Linked DNA regions of Drosophila melanogaster. The protein of the gene in region 2 binds, or shares a complex with, the protein of the main gene of each other region. Each region holds a gene or a part of one and is shown on either strand. Other genes may lie near its edges. A codon is read from its position in the direction of its gene.

What was found. The genes of interacting proteins can lie anywhere in the genome.
Region 1: the proteins of Dcr-1 (region 2) and loqs are in contact, whole or in part, in a cryo-EM structure (PDB 8DGJ), measured with the Drosophila melanogaster proteins. Residues at the interface, in NP_524453.1 of Drosophila melanogaster: His245 (codon at 5,222), Phe248 (codon at 5,213), Asp251 (codon at 5,204), His252 (codon at 5,201), Arg253 (codon at 5,198), Asp255 (codon at 5,192), Glu258 (codon at 5,183), Ile259 (codon at 5,180), His303 (codon at 5,048), Tyr306 (codon at 5,039), Gln307 (codon at 5,036), Glu310 (codon at 5,027), Lys311 (codon at 5,024), Lys313 (codon at 5,018), Arg320 (codon at 4,997), Leu323 (codon at 4,988), Cys326 (codon at 4,979), Leu327 (codon at 4,976), Ser329 (codon at 4,970), Thr330 (codon at 4,967), Ile333 (codon at 4,958), Gln334 (codon at 4,955), Tyr336 (codon at 4,949), Ser337 (codon at 4,946), Leu338 (codon at 4,943), Glu340 (codon at 4,937), His341 (codon at 4,934); in NP_609646.1 of Drosophila melanogaster: Thr358 (codon at 1,457), Gln359 (codon at 1,454), His360 (codon at 1,451), Ser361 (codon at 1,448), Lys363 (codon at 1,442), Val364 (codon at 1,439), Phe367 (codon at 1,430), His368 (codon at 1,427), Lys372 (codon at 1,415), Ile414 (codon at 1,100), Glu415 (codon at 1,097), Glu416 (codon at 1,094), Lys417 (codon at 1,091), Thr418 (codon at 1,088), Phe419 (codon at 1,085), Gln422 (codon at 1,076), Gln424 (codon at 1,070), Pro433 (codon at 1,043), Val434 (codon at 1,040), Gly435 (codon at 1,037), Val436 (codon at 1,034), His438 (codon at 1,028), Ser440 (codon at 1,022), Asn454 (codon at 980), Tyr458 (codon at 968), Ile461 (codon at 959), Met462 (codon at 956), Lys464 (codon at 950), Lys465 (codon at 947).

Annotation. Positions count from the first base shown.
Region 1 is NT_033779.5:13,380,652-13,386,173, reverse strand, and holds loqs (loquacious), read right to left. Parts: upstream 3,523-5,522; 5' UTR 3,387-3,522; intron 3,279-3,386; 5' UTR 3,235-3,278; coding exon 2,510-3,234; intron 2,438-2,509; coding exon 2,152-2,437; coding exon of another isoform or gene 2,083-2,151; exon of another isoform or gene 2,009-2,082; intron 1,648-2,008; coding exon of another isoform or gene 1,518-1,647; coding exon 1,380-1,517; intron 1,353-1,379; exon of another isoform or gene 1,191-1,352; coding exon 942-1,190; 3' UTR 503-941; downstream 1-502. Other genes in the region: Ing5 (inhibitor of growth family member 5), read left to right, coding at 1-75, 138-239; beta'COP (coat protein (coatomer) beta'), read right to left, coding at 3,993-5,179, 5,415-5,522.
Region 2 is NT_033777.3:22,735,077-22,742,850, forward strand, and holds the start of Dcr-1 (Dicer-1), read right to left. Parts: upstream 6,016-7,774; 5' UTR 5,955-6,015; coding exon 3,321-5,954; intron 3,269-3,320; coding exon 1,660-3,268; intron 1,603-1,659; coding exon 1-1,602. Other genes in the region: CG6985 (uncharacterized protein), read left to right, coding at 6,241-7,020, 7,079-7,678, 7,738-7,774. UniProt on the Drosophila melanogaster protein: Endoribonuclease which functions in microRNA- (miRNA) gene silencing and, independently of its ribonuclease III activity, also acts in the short interfering RNA- (siRNA) gene silencing pathway.

The DNA of each region.
Region 1 (5,522 bases), on a different chromosome or scaffold from region 2:
GATCCCAATGAGCCCACATATTGCCTATGCCACCAGGTGTCCTATGGAGAGATGATTGGCTGCGACAATCCCGACGTGAGTATTCGATTTTGATGTACTCTGTGGTCAGTTCTAGATCTTTCACTCTACCATTTTAGTGTCCCATCGAGTGGTTTCACTTCGCTTGTGTTGGCCTCACCACAAAGCCAAAGGGCAAGTGGTTCTGTCCCAAGTGTACGCAGGACAGAAAGAAGAAATAGATGCAATCCTTTATGATTACTTAGAATACTACTTTAGATTAAGCACAAAATTACCTATTTAAATAAAGCCACGGCTACTATAACTTCAGTATTATATTTGTCAATTTATTTCCTAACTAATTTGTAGTTAAATAATTCCATATCATAAAAGATGTTTTCACAGAATATTTCTAAAGTTGGATTGATTAATTTCAATTCATCAATGCCCTTTAATTCGGAGTTTACAAAGTTTTTCAGCCCAAGGAAAAGAAAACTGCAAAAGTAGCGATTACCAAATACCGATTATATTCATAAGCCTTTTTCCTTCGCAAACTAGCACGTAGTCTACCTTAAACCTAGTTTTATCTGCCGTTTTACGTTTTTCAGAATTTGAAAGCGACTAGAAGATTCCAATATCGATTACACGCTTGTCTGTATTTGCAAGCGTACATACATTCATCGGTAAGTGTAGTACATATATGAACATTTACATATGCAGTTAACAAATACAACTGCCTAATCAAAGGAATCGGTGGAAAAGAAACAAAATATATATATATATATATGTAACATCGCCACTGCATTGAGCCAAAAAGTGGAAAGAAAAGCAATTAGACTGGTGCATTAGTTATCCCGTATCCACTCGGTAATCGCTCTCATCAAATACTCGTGATCGTGGTCGTGGTGTGCGTTCAGATTTTGCTATTCAGTTGGCTGCACCCCCTACTTCTTGGTCATGATCTTCAAGTACTCGAGGGCATTCTGGGCGGCATGCCGCTGGGCATCGGCAGCTGTTGGTCCGCTGCCGTGGCAAACGCCAACGGGCAGCGTGGACAGTTGAACCAGGCACTGGAACTGGCCAGAGAAGGTCTTCTCCTCTATGTCCACATAGGTCACCTCGAACTGGTTCTCCGTGGCGATTTCGCCCAGCAGCTTGATGTAATCAATCTTGTTGTTCTTCAAGCAAGTCTTCTGAAAAAAATACAAATGGAGTCGAATTAGCAGAGTCAAATTAAACTTTGAACTTTCAAGCAAGAACACTATTATTATAAGGATTGTGAGGGGTTAAGGCAAATATGTACTTTCGAAAGCAGGTTTTGAATGTTGGAAATATGTTTGTGATCGTTTTTGAATAAAAAGCGTTATTGGATTGAAATTTACCTGTAACTTAAGCAGTTTTTTGCCCGTTGCATTTTTTAGGGTCTTATGGAACTGGGATACTTTGTTACTGTGCTGCGTGGTCAGTGTCGGCACAGAGATATCTTTCAATTCACCATAATAATTTTCACTACTGCGGGGCTGTAAATAAGAGCGCAAAGTTTTTGGTTTCTTTTCTCCATTGCATTTCGCACACATTTGAAATCACACACGCCAATGGTGAGTTGAAACATATCACTTTTGTGTGGAAAAGGTGCTTTACAGATTCGTTCTTTAAAACAATCACCATGCCAAGGAACAATATGAAAAATGAAAAATGAAATAAGCCAATATAAACCATAAATAAAACCAGAAATATAAATAAGGTGTAAGCATTATGTTAATTATATGTATAATTATGTCAAAAACATTAGTTATAAAAACAAGGACAATAAAAAATATCAGATAGCACACTATAAAAGGGATGCTATAGTACTAAAACTCTAGCTAGATACATAATTTAAAAGATTATAGGGATATTTACAACTGAGGATTACTCTAAACGTTCTACATTACATTTGAGAAGGGATAGAGGACAAACGTATTAAATAATATATAACATTTATGACATATATTTGATAAAATCAATTTTTAAAATTTTATAAACTAAAGCATGGGACTGCATTCAAAATAATTGCACTAAAAATATTAGAAAATTGCTTGTGGGTTAGATCTTGATGAACTCAAAATCTTTAGAGACTTGCTCGTAACGATCGATGTCTTGAATGATACTCACTTCGCCCTCCAACTCGCCGCAGATGCTGTCGCTGATTTTGCCCGAATCGATGGGAGTCTCCTGCAGACGCATCCACATGCGGTGGGCGGCCAAGCGCTTGGCTATCTTCTTGCTTTTGCCCTTGCCCATCTCGCGGTAGTTGAGTATCGAGCAGGCGATCGTAAAGAGCCGCTCGTGGGGAAGACCCACTTCCGTTTCCGTTTCGTACGACGGCGGTGGCCATCGCCGTTGCATGCACATTTCCTGCAACCAGCCAATCGGATTACCAACGGTCTTGTCGCTGGCACTGCAAGGACATAATACAATAAATTGGATATCTTAGAATCATATCTTAGACATCAATAGAATAAAAACTCACTCTCCTCCGCCTGTGGCATTGGCATTGCCGTCTCCTCCGCTTCCGGCGACCGTGAGCCCAGTCACCGACGGACCAGCGGAGCTGCTAGGCGATTCCGGCAGCTGCGCGCCGATCAGCTTGTCGATGAGCGCACGGGCCGCCGCATGCTTGGCCTCCTTCTTCGATCGTCCTGCCCCCATGGCCGTGAAGGGCGTATCCTTGTCTTTAAAGGACACGCGAAACCGGAAGGTCGGCTCATGTATGGCGCCCTCGATCTGGACAAGTTCATAGCCGGGAGTAATTCCTCGTCGGCTTAGCAGCTCTTGCAGAATGCTGACGGGCGTCTTCATGGCCAGTCCATTGGCGTCCGTTTCGCTGACGAACTTTAAGGCCTCGTCGCTGGGCAATATTACGCCCATAAGGCCGACTCCACCTTGTAAGCCCGATCCGCCCGCCAAGGCAGGATCACCAACATCTGACAGCTGCAGCTGACCTGGCTGAGACAGCTGCGCAACCTGGGCGGATATCTTCTCCTTCTTGAGCTTCACATGGCGCTGCCCCAGCGGAGCACCCTTCACCGGACTACCACTGACGGCATTTCCATTGCCCAGGCCGACAAGGTTATTATAGTGCCGCCGTGGAGCAAATCCCGTCTGGACAGGATTGGGGGACGCCTGCTGCGGCTGGATGTGGAGGTTCTGTAGCTGCTGCGGCAAGCTGGAGCCGTGGAAATTCTCCTGGTCCATGGTGTTCTTGTTTTGCACGGTTTTCGGGAGGATTCGGTGTGTATCTGTTTAAAATTTCGGGGTAATTGTTGTTTGAAAAATCGATACATCACCGACGAATAGCGGGCGAAAAGTCCAGTTGACACTCTCGCCGAAATTCGGGGAGTACTCACGTTTGAATCGCGGTTTTAACTGTTTTTTATTTAATAATAATTTATTAATGGTTAGTTAATAATTCATTCTTAAATAAAAAATACAGCAAAATCCAGACGCACACACGAATTGTATGTATTTTACTGATATTTGTGGTTGCCAGACTTTTTTTGGATTGCCTACTTATTACACCCCCTACTCGTAGAGTAAATATGTTGAAATAAATGTATGTAACAGGTACAGAACATTTTTTTGTACAAATATATAATAAAATAGACCATGAATACTAATTTAACTCAAAAAAAAAAAAGAACAAAAATAATTTTTAATTTCTCCTGGCATGATCGTAAGTTTGTTTAAAAGTTTTATCGATAAGATATCAGAATGTAATCGAAATAGTTGAAGTGAGCGCCATATTTGAAATTGTTGTATAAGTATTTATTGCAGTGTTTGCTCCATTACTGTTGTACATATTATTAATAGATATATATTTAAACAACATTCAATCAAATCAAATGTGAATGCATGCGCGGAATTCTGTGGCTCGAAATGCACGAAATGTGGGACTCCCGTAGCAGTAAACGATAGTTTAAATGGTATTCTAGATCTGGCTGTGATCTTCCGTCCTAATCGTCGCTTAGAAAATCGTCATCGAGGTTCACATCTGTCGTATCAATGTTATCATCCAACGTAATTCCATCTATTTCCAAGTCCAGGTCGTCGTCGTCATCCGCAGCGGATGTAGGCTCGGCCACCTGGCTGCTAGAAACAACAGCTTGAGCGGGAACGTAAGCTGGCTTCACCTTCTCCTCCAAATGCTGGCCGGCGGCACCCTGCTCGGCGGCAAATAGTTCTTGCAGAGGATGACGTTCGCTATTCAGTGGTAGATTCGCAGCGAGGCGTGCCGGCGCCTTACGAGCTCGCTCCTCCTGCAAATGCTGCTCCACCCGCAGCGCATCGCCCAGGCCAGGGAAGAGATTTGTATACTGTGCCGGATCGGCCAGCGACTGTCCCGCCTTTTCGTTGACCTTTCCAAGCTTCTCCCGCCAAAGCTCTACGATCCTTGACATCTGGCTGGGCAGGTAGGTGCGGGCAAAGAACGCTGCCTCTGGCAACCGATTTGTCTCAATGAGAATCTCCAAGCAGCGTTCCACGTCTGAACGAAGGAACGCCGAGAGGAAAGCTAGATTGTGATGTCCCTGGGCCGAGCCAGCCGCACCCACCACCTCGAGCAGCTGGGCATCGCCGGAAGCTGTTGAGAGCAGCAATAGACCGCTTAAGTCGTTTGCCTTCTGCATGCACTCTTTAACCAGAGACATGTTGTTCTTGCTAGACGCCACATCTGCCAGCTGTGACCACTTCTGGGAGTTCTCCGACTCACGGGCCAGCTTTAAGGCGATTTCCAAATCTCCGATCTGTAAGGCCAAGTCAAACTTATGGTCGGCATCGGTAGAGACTTGCAGGGCCTGCGACTTAAAGCCCTGTTTCTCCAGAAAATGTGCCACCCTAGTGCGGTGCTCCTTGGGAATGGTCGGTAGCACAACGTCTGCGCGCTCAAAGTCTCTTCGCATAACCGCCGTCTGGTACTCCAGCACGGACAGCTGCAGACAGAAACTGATCACGTTCAACTCCTTATCGCCGAGGTAAATACGATTGTCCTTGGGCACGTAGCCCAGCAGATACATTGTGCGGTCTAAGTGGGATACTGTCACAATCTCGCCGCCCACGTAGTAGTTGATGCGGTTCACCGAGTTGGTATAGATGAAGCAGTCTCCCACCCAAAGTCCTGTTTTGACGCACTCCGAAACCTCGCCTGCAACACAAATGCATAATACAATACAATTATACTTTCTTGCTATTATGTGGTAAATGGAAATATTTTTTTAAATTTAAATTTAAAATAGTTTGCTCTCATGGTGAAATACAGAGTAAACCATTGTTGTATGCTCTCTATAGGAATATTGAAAGCGGAATCTCATTTGAGAAATCGTGTTTGAGACACGTATTCTAAAGATAAGATACATATTAGATAATTGGTATCAACTTACCCAGCACATTGAAAGCGCTCTCCACACCATCATCCTCCAGTCCCTCCTTGGTCTCTACGGCATTGGCAACCTGGGCAGTGTCCACCCCCAGGACAAAGTAGGAGTCAT
Region 2 (7,774 bases):
GTTGCTCCTGGTTACCCCCGTCCAACTGCCTTGTGATAGGGAGCACTCTCACGCCCAGCCAGGCCATAAAGAGTAAAGCCCCTCGGGGTCCGCACTCAATGAGATAGGCTCCAATGAGGGCTTCGACGCAATCGGCAATAGACTTATCCGGAATGCTGTGTTGCGAAACAAGGTTGTAGGGAATAAAACAGCTAAAATCATTGCAGCTATCATTGGAGTCGTCAAGTTGTCCATTTTGGGCACCCCCATTCTGCTCCAAGCCCAGGGCATCGGCTTTTTCGCGAACCATCTCGCAGATTTGCACACTGCTTAGGTTCTTAATGTCTAGCAGATCGGCCAGCTTCCAATGGTGAGTGGGGATCTTCGCCTCGATGAGCGCCTTCTCTAGCTCCTTTGGCACGTAGTAGCAGGGTGGCAGCCAATTGTCGTGCGGCTCGAATTTAGTGGCTATCATATATTCACCCAGTCTCTTACGTCTGCCCAGACGATAGAGATTGAGATTGGCAACCTGCTTGGAGCGCAGGTGACTTAGTTTTCCCTCGTGCACATTCTCGTAGGTGATGTACAAGTAGGTGGTAATGGCATACTTTAGAAAGGAATCTCCAATTGTCTCCAGTCGCTCCAGATTGATGCCATCGTTAGCATTGGACATTGTGAGGGCTTGCAAAATGATGCTGGGACTGGGTCCTGGATGGCCCACTAGATCCGGTTGTCGATCGAAACTGAAGCCAGCTGGTAATATGGCTGAGGTTATGGCCTTCGTGGAAGTAGGTGGCTCAATTTCAATTCGTTCGTATTGCAGTTTCAGTTGCTTTTCATCCAAGTTCAGCCGATGATGATCGTTATAGTTGTCAAAACTATCTCCGCATCCCATTACATTGTAGGTCTCCTGCTCATGTCGCGCTACCCAATCTGCATTTAGCTCTACCAAATCCGACAGCAGAAGCTCGCGCCTATCACCCAGCTTTTTGGCCAGCACATCTTCATTTACATACGGCAGCAGCTGCTTCAATAGCTCCATCATCGATACCTTTGCAACCTGAGCCTCAGCGGCATCACTTCTTTTTAGAACCAACTGCTGGTCGTGCGGCACCAACATGCCGCCGGATTCTATTTCCGTTTTGAGCTTAGCTATGGATTCTTCATATCTTATAGTGGCAGGTTCCTTCTGGTCCTCATGCTTAAAATTGAATCCAATGAGCAGGTTCTTTGTCTGCTGATACTGCCGCTCGTTAGCATTGGTCGCCTGGATGATGGACAGCTGCTTCTGGCGCTTTTCCACTTCCTGTGCGGTTTCAATAGTCTCCGCTTCATTCTTGGAGGTGAACGCAATGCGTCCCGCATCGATATCATCTGCCACATCGTCGTCATCCGAACTGTAGTTGTGATGCATGTAATTGAGCGGACCTGCGTTATCGTCGTCATCGTAGCTGGAACCCAGCGAATTGTCCGAGTCATAATAGTTAAATGTGGGCTTTGCCGGACCCTTTGCTTTGCCCTTGCCACCCTGCTTATTCTGACTGCTCTTTGGACCCTTGAAGCCGCTTTCGCCATTGCTCACATCCCAAAATGTGGGCGAACCGTAGCGCGTTTGCTGATCACCTGTAAGATGTATTAGGGATTATTTCTGATCCTTAGCAAGGGATTTAAATAACTTACAGAACTTAACGTTTGCCGGTAAAACTGGGAGATGGAAGGCGTCATCCTCGTCGTCGTCTTCTTGGTTAAAACTAGCTATATCGTCGGCCATATCGTTTGACCAAGTGCCTATCTCAATGAAGTCATCAGCCTCTTGCAGCTTCTCCTCTCCCTCAATGATTAGTTCAATAGCACTTTTCTCAACCTTATCGTCTTTTGAATCCTTATCTAGTTGGGTCTCCTCGCTAGTCGGTTTCTTTTCAACATCAGCTAAGTCTTTGCCATTAATAGTATCATCCTTAAGGGACTCCTTTTGTTTGGACTCCCGCGATTTCTTGAGCACCTCCGATAGACTCCACCCAAAGTCCAGCATGGGCCACTCGAAATCCTCATCTTCGATCTGTTGCCTTCCCAGCCCCAGATCCGCAGAAACCTGTTTCCGAATATCGTCGGCCAATAGAAGACCATTTATGCGGTACAGGATGCAGGGCAGGCACACGGCAGTTCGCCACAAGGAGGCGGGGAATGGATGCACAGTGCAGAGCTCTGGCACAAGGATCTGCTTCTGTTCGAGATTCTCGCGCTTTGCCCGCTTTGTCTCCTCCGAACTAGTGGGCAGAGCAACGCCCTTGCGATTAACGTATCGTGGCGTGAGGAAGTTTAACCGCGCACTGGTGTGATCCACGTCCAATAGCGGCTGCGAGGTATTCTGTATGGTCAGACCATACTTGACGAGGTAGTAGTGCTTGAACGTGCGGTAGTTGTCACCAGGGAAGCAGCTGAGTGGGGATAGATGTGGACATATCTCCGCCACATAGAAATACTGCGGTTGATCCTGGTTGCGATACCACGGCATAACGACGGCATCCTGGAAGCGTTGCGGATCAAACGGCTGCGCCTGGCGCTCCTCATCGGGCACTGCCCGTGGCATTGTATTTCCATTCGCTTGGATCAGCTCCAGAAACTGCCAGTCGATGTGCTTGCCGCCAGCTGGTGCCTTCACGGTGGGCACAATGAATACACAATTTTCCGTGGAGTCCGGATCGAAGAGCATCAGAAACTTTTGCAAACGCAGTACATTGGTGAACGTGTAGTTTAAAAATCCGTTGATGCAGACTATTTGTTCGCTAGTTAGAATCACGCGTTCCTTAGCTAACTCCAGGGAAACCTTCACCTCACCGGAACGCGTGAATATCGAGAAAGCACTCAGCTTGGGTATCCGTTTGGTGGTTAGAATGCCGAATCCCTGCTGCGCATCTTCGGGCGGATAAATCTTGCGTCCCCGCGTGTTTTGCTCTTCGGGAATCGGACATTGGAGCGTCAGTTGGATAAAGTACAAATAGCATGGCGCTCCGGCAACGGGACGGCAATCGCAAAATTCGGATGCAATGCGTTTGTAATAGTACTGACGACGCTTCGTTGTTCCCGGACGTGGTTCATCGCTTAGCTGCACAATCTGTTCGTCCTCTGGCTCCAGTTCAAAGCACTCCCAGTCCGGCTCCAGGGCACGAAATCCCTCCTTGCCGATAGGCTGCAACTGATCGTCTAACTCACCGATCCTGTGCAGTTCCACGCAAGCCTGCAAGGCAGCCAGTCGGCGGGCCAATGTTTGAGTTGGCATCGGAAGACCCTAAAGAAGAGTATTTAACAAATCTTAAATAATTCGTATTACAAGTACTTACCACAATGTCATGCTTCAATGGCGAGTTGATGGGCAGACGGAGTGTGTACTGAAACAGGGTCACTCCAGCCCTTTCGTTTCGGGTGCAGCGCCACAACGCCGTCAACTTGGTGAACGTGTCGCTTGGCAGTCGGGCGCAGTACTTGTTGACCAAAGCTATAGCAGAACCCAGATCCACGGAGGCGCCTGTTAGCAGGTGCGGCTTGGGTCGGTATGCGGCCAGGCAGGCACTAAAACGTTCCGCCTCACTCTGCTCCTGCTCCGGCGGCTCTGTGTTGGCGCACTTGGATAGCAGCATCTGCTCGATTTCGCGATACTGTGCCATTTGATGCACCAAGTCCTTCGTGGTGCTGGCTAAACTATGAGCAGTATCGATTTCGGCTGTAGTATCACTTGTGTCTTCTGGCTCCGTTAAAGAGCTCAGCTCGCACTGGAAGCGTCTGGATTTTTGTTCTGTACTGCTCTCGCTTGGAGACGTGTTACTCATGCTGACGGCTTCGTCGCTGGAGTTGCTCGTATCCAGCTGCGCTGCGGCTGGCAATTCGTCCTGGATCTCCTGCAGCTTAATGTCGCACGCTGTCGGTGGTTGTTTACTGAACACTTCGGGGTTGAGGATCTTCACGGTTCCGCGTGCCGTGCCAAAAGTATAGGGATCCGAGCCGGACGAGTTTGGCATCGCTGAATCATCAGAGTCGCTGTCCGCCTCTGTAGTATCACCAGTCGCGCAAATATACCGATGACTCCGATCGGTCAGCTGCACTGACCCCACAGTTGGGCTTTTATAACTCGGAGCGACGAGAATGACATGATAGGCTGGAGCAGCACGGGCTCGACCTTTGCACTGAACGTAACTGCGATATGTGGTTGGCGGATCCCAGCGCACAACCAAATTGCACTTGGGCACATCGATGCCCTCTTCCAGCACCGAAGTACCGATCAGGACATTGCAGTCATGCATGCGGAAGCGCTTTAGCACCTCTTCCTGCCGCCGGTGCTCCAACTCAGCCTCTTTGGGCTCCGTGGTGGGATCTGCCACCCGGTCCGTGGTGTACTGGCAGCGTAGGAACTTGAGATCGGGATCACGTCTGCTAATCTCCGCTAGAAGCTCAAAGAGCACGCGAGCCGTGTGGTTCTGGTTGCAGTAAATCAGTGCGCAGAGCGTGTCGCTGCCATCATTGTGATCCCGGTGGTGGCGCCTGGTGTACACACGTCTACGAGTTCGTGGTTGTGCAGTGTTGGCACCAGAGCTAGGTTTCGGCTTCGCATGAGCGGGAGTAGGAGTAGGAGTCACCCGAGCGGCGCTTCTGTTCGTCTGCCTGTCCTCTGTCGTGTGCAGAATCTGCTCAAGAGTGGCCACCAGGGCTCGTGTCTCCGTCGGCGGTTGGTCCATTTGATCCACCATTCGGCACTTGCTTTCCAGCGTATGAGATAACCGATTGAAGTCCGCCTGATCCACCTGATGCCGCATTCTGCGCAGTCCGTCCGCTTGGGTGTGCACCTCTTCCGGCTTGAAGCACCTCAGTGTCTGCAACAGACGTCGCACCTTGGGGCTGGAATAGCGTTCGATGGTCTGGCGTGAATCGCTGCCACTTCCTAAATGTCGATGGAATGCGTGTTCGCAGAGGGAGTACAGTTGGATAAGGGCCGTGCTCACTAGGCAGTACAGCAAGTAGTGACGTTCGTGCGGCGTCTTCACCTTTAACTTCTCATTGCATTGGTAAAAGTGATGTGCAGCCCGCTGCGTGCACCAAGGACCCATCTCGTGCAGCACGACCAGTAGTGAGTTGATGACGTTCAGGGGGTCCACCTTGGGATCGGGTATGTCTTTCAGTTCGTCCATAAACTGGTCTGTGCCGTAGATTTCGTAGGGATCGTAGCGGTGGTCCAATAAAAAGGACTTGTGTGTGTTGAGCACATCGGCAAGCACCAGGGACAGTTCGTCCATCTCGAAGGGGGCGCACTGTACGATGTATTCGTGCGGTCGGGAACAGTAACGCAACACGGTGACAATATCACTGGCCGTCTCGATCTGGCAAAGCACACTCTGCTCCAGGGTGGCCAGCATGGCGCTCAGTTGCTGCAGCTCACATCCGGCGCTGTGCAGCGGTCCAGCGAGTCCGAGAATCCGTGGCCTGTCCGCCGGTGGCGCTGGCATAATGTGATTCTCGAACAGAGGCCTTATCCTCTGATAAACGGCGCTGTCATGACAATCTTCCAGCACGATCAGTTCGACGCTGCTCAGCAGCAGCTCGCGAGTTTCGAGCAGATAAAGAAATCCCTCTGGCCGTAGGATGGAAACGTGATAGTCCGTCCAGCAATGATCAAAGGGAATTTGCATATCCGGCTGCTCCTGCCACACCCGCAGGTCAGTCAAGTGGGTGAGCATCGTGTAGATGGAGCATGGTTCCGTGCTGGTGCCAACCTCGCAACTGAGATAGACACTGACACGACCATGTCGGCGTGCTCGACGCGACAGCTCCTGGAGCAGCTTGAGGGCTATAAACTCCTTGGAACTTCGATGGCCCAGGCAAATAATCGTGTTCCGCTCGTAGGCGGTGGCCAGTAGCTCCACCTGAAAGTCGCGCGGCGTGAACACGGTGGTGTGCAGATTGTTGTCGCACCAGTGGAACGCCATCGTGGCTGAGGGGATTCACAAAAACACCACTGCCTCTGCGAGATTTCTATCAGAAAATCATCCAGAGCCGGCTACCAGCAGAATGCCAGTGTGACCAGGGTTCGGAATACCTTTCGAGGTTCACTTCATTGGCCACACTTACAAGTGGCTTGAAAATAGATTGCGCCTTGTATATTTATATTTTGTTGATAGCAAAAGTTTTTAAATTAACTTATGTATTTACGGTGAACTATACCCGGTAATCCTCTTCTTTAGCACCATAAAGCGGCGTTCCAAAGCTCCTTCCATGCGCCGCGCTGCAAAGCGAGAGAGCGAAGCGGCGCCTCCCAAAGAGGAACCACAGTCACCCTGCTCCTGGCCCAAAAACAATCTACCCAGCGAATGGGGCACCTCAGGGGGCACCCAAAGCCTGGGACCTCGAGAATTCAGGGCGGGCGAGAATCCCCTCAAAGATAGCCGCATCTTCCATGTGCTCTGGCGTAATCAGACCACCAAAAAGCACAAAACGTGGACTGGCAACGGAACGCTGGTGGTCACGGGATCCATAGTAACATTGAAGGATGACACCGGCAAGGTTGTGGACACCATGACATACTTTAAGCAGCGGCAACTTCAGGAGAACGATCAGCTGGAAGTAGGCAGCAAGGATGTCGAGATTCAGGAGGAGATTAAAACCGTCGAGGAGTGCCTTATTCAGCGCCAGTTGGAAATAGCCAACTGGTGCCAAAAAATAGATGCCCAGAATGGTTGTACAGACACATCGCCACCACCTGCTGACAGTGCACCCGTTAGGTCTCATCTGCTCAAGAAGATCAAGCGCGAGGCAGATGCCTTTGCTCCACCGCATTTGGAAATTAGCCAACATAGAGAAGATAAACATGTCTCCTATGCAGCCGCCGATTCCAGCACTTCGATGGGAAAGAAAATCTATGAACAAAACACTTTGAAGATAGAAAACCCTACCAAGGAGTTCACCCAATCGGAATATCTGTGTCTATTAACTCCAGCTGAACTGCAGAAAAAAATATTACTCTTTGTTTCTGAATATGCACAAACATCTAAAACAGTAAGATAGATTTAGACCAATTTACATGCATAAACAAATCAAAAAACTTGTATTTCAGGAATCGTCTACGTTGAAGGAAATCTTCCAAATTGTATGTGATCATCCTGTGCTCCTAAAAACTTTGGGTACGAATCCAGTGTTTAAGGAAATAATGGAGGTACTGGACGCCATACTGCCGCCTTGGCCAAGCATGGGACTTTACGACTCCGCCAAGTTCGAGTTTCTACACGTAATGCTGGATCACTTAGTGGCGGAGCGAGGCGAGAAGTGCTGCATCTTGGCAAACAGTGAGGATTGCCTCACCCTGGTCAGGGGATACTGTCAGAGTTATAGTTTGGACCATGCGCAGCTAGATGGTCCCCAAAAAGTGAACTTATTTAATTCTCTTGCCGATGGAGAACCAATGATTGGCTTGATTTTGACCAGTGACTTGTCGGCGCTTCGAGCTCTTCGCTGCAAACACCTAATTATTTATAATCACAATTCCAGGCAGCAAGCCAACCAACTGCTGGCCGTTGGAGCAATGGATACCAAAATATATACTCTCATCACAGCCGGAGGTTCTCCGGAGGAGTTGCAGTTCTATGGGCATATGGGTGATGATTCTATAGAAGATCTTCAGAATTGCCGCAGCCAGCTTATACCGACCGCATCTAATGTGAGTACTTCGAATTCTTATCATATTAATAAATCACCTATTGCATTGATAACCTATAGAATCTAGCGGACTGGACCAAAAGTGAGCCACCTTTTG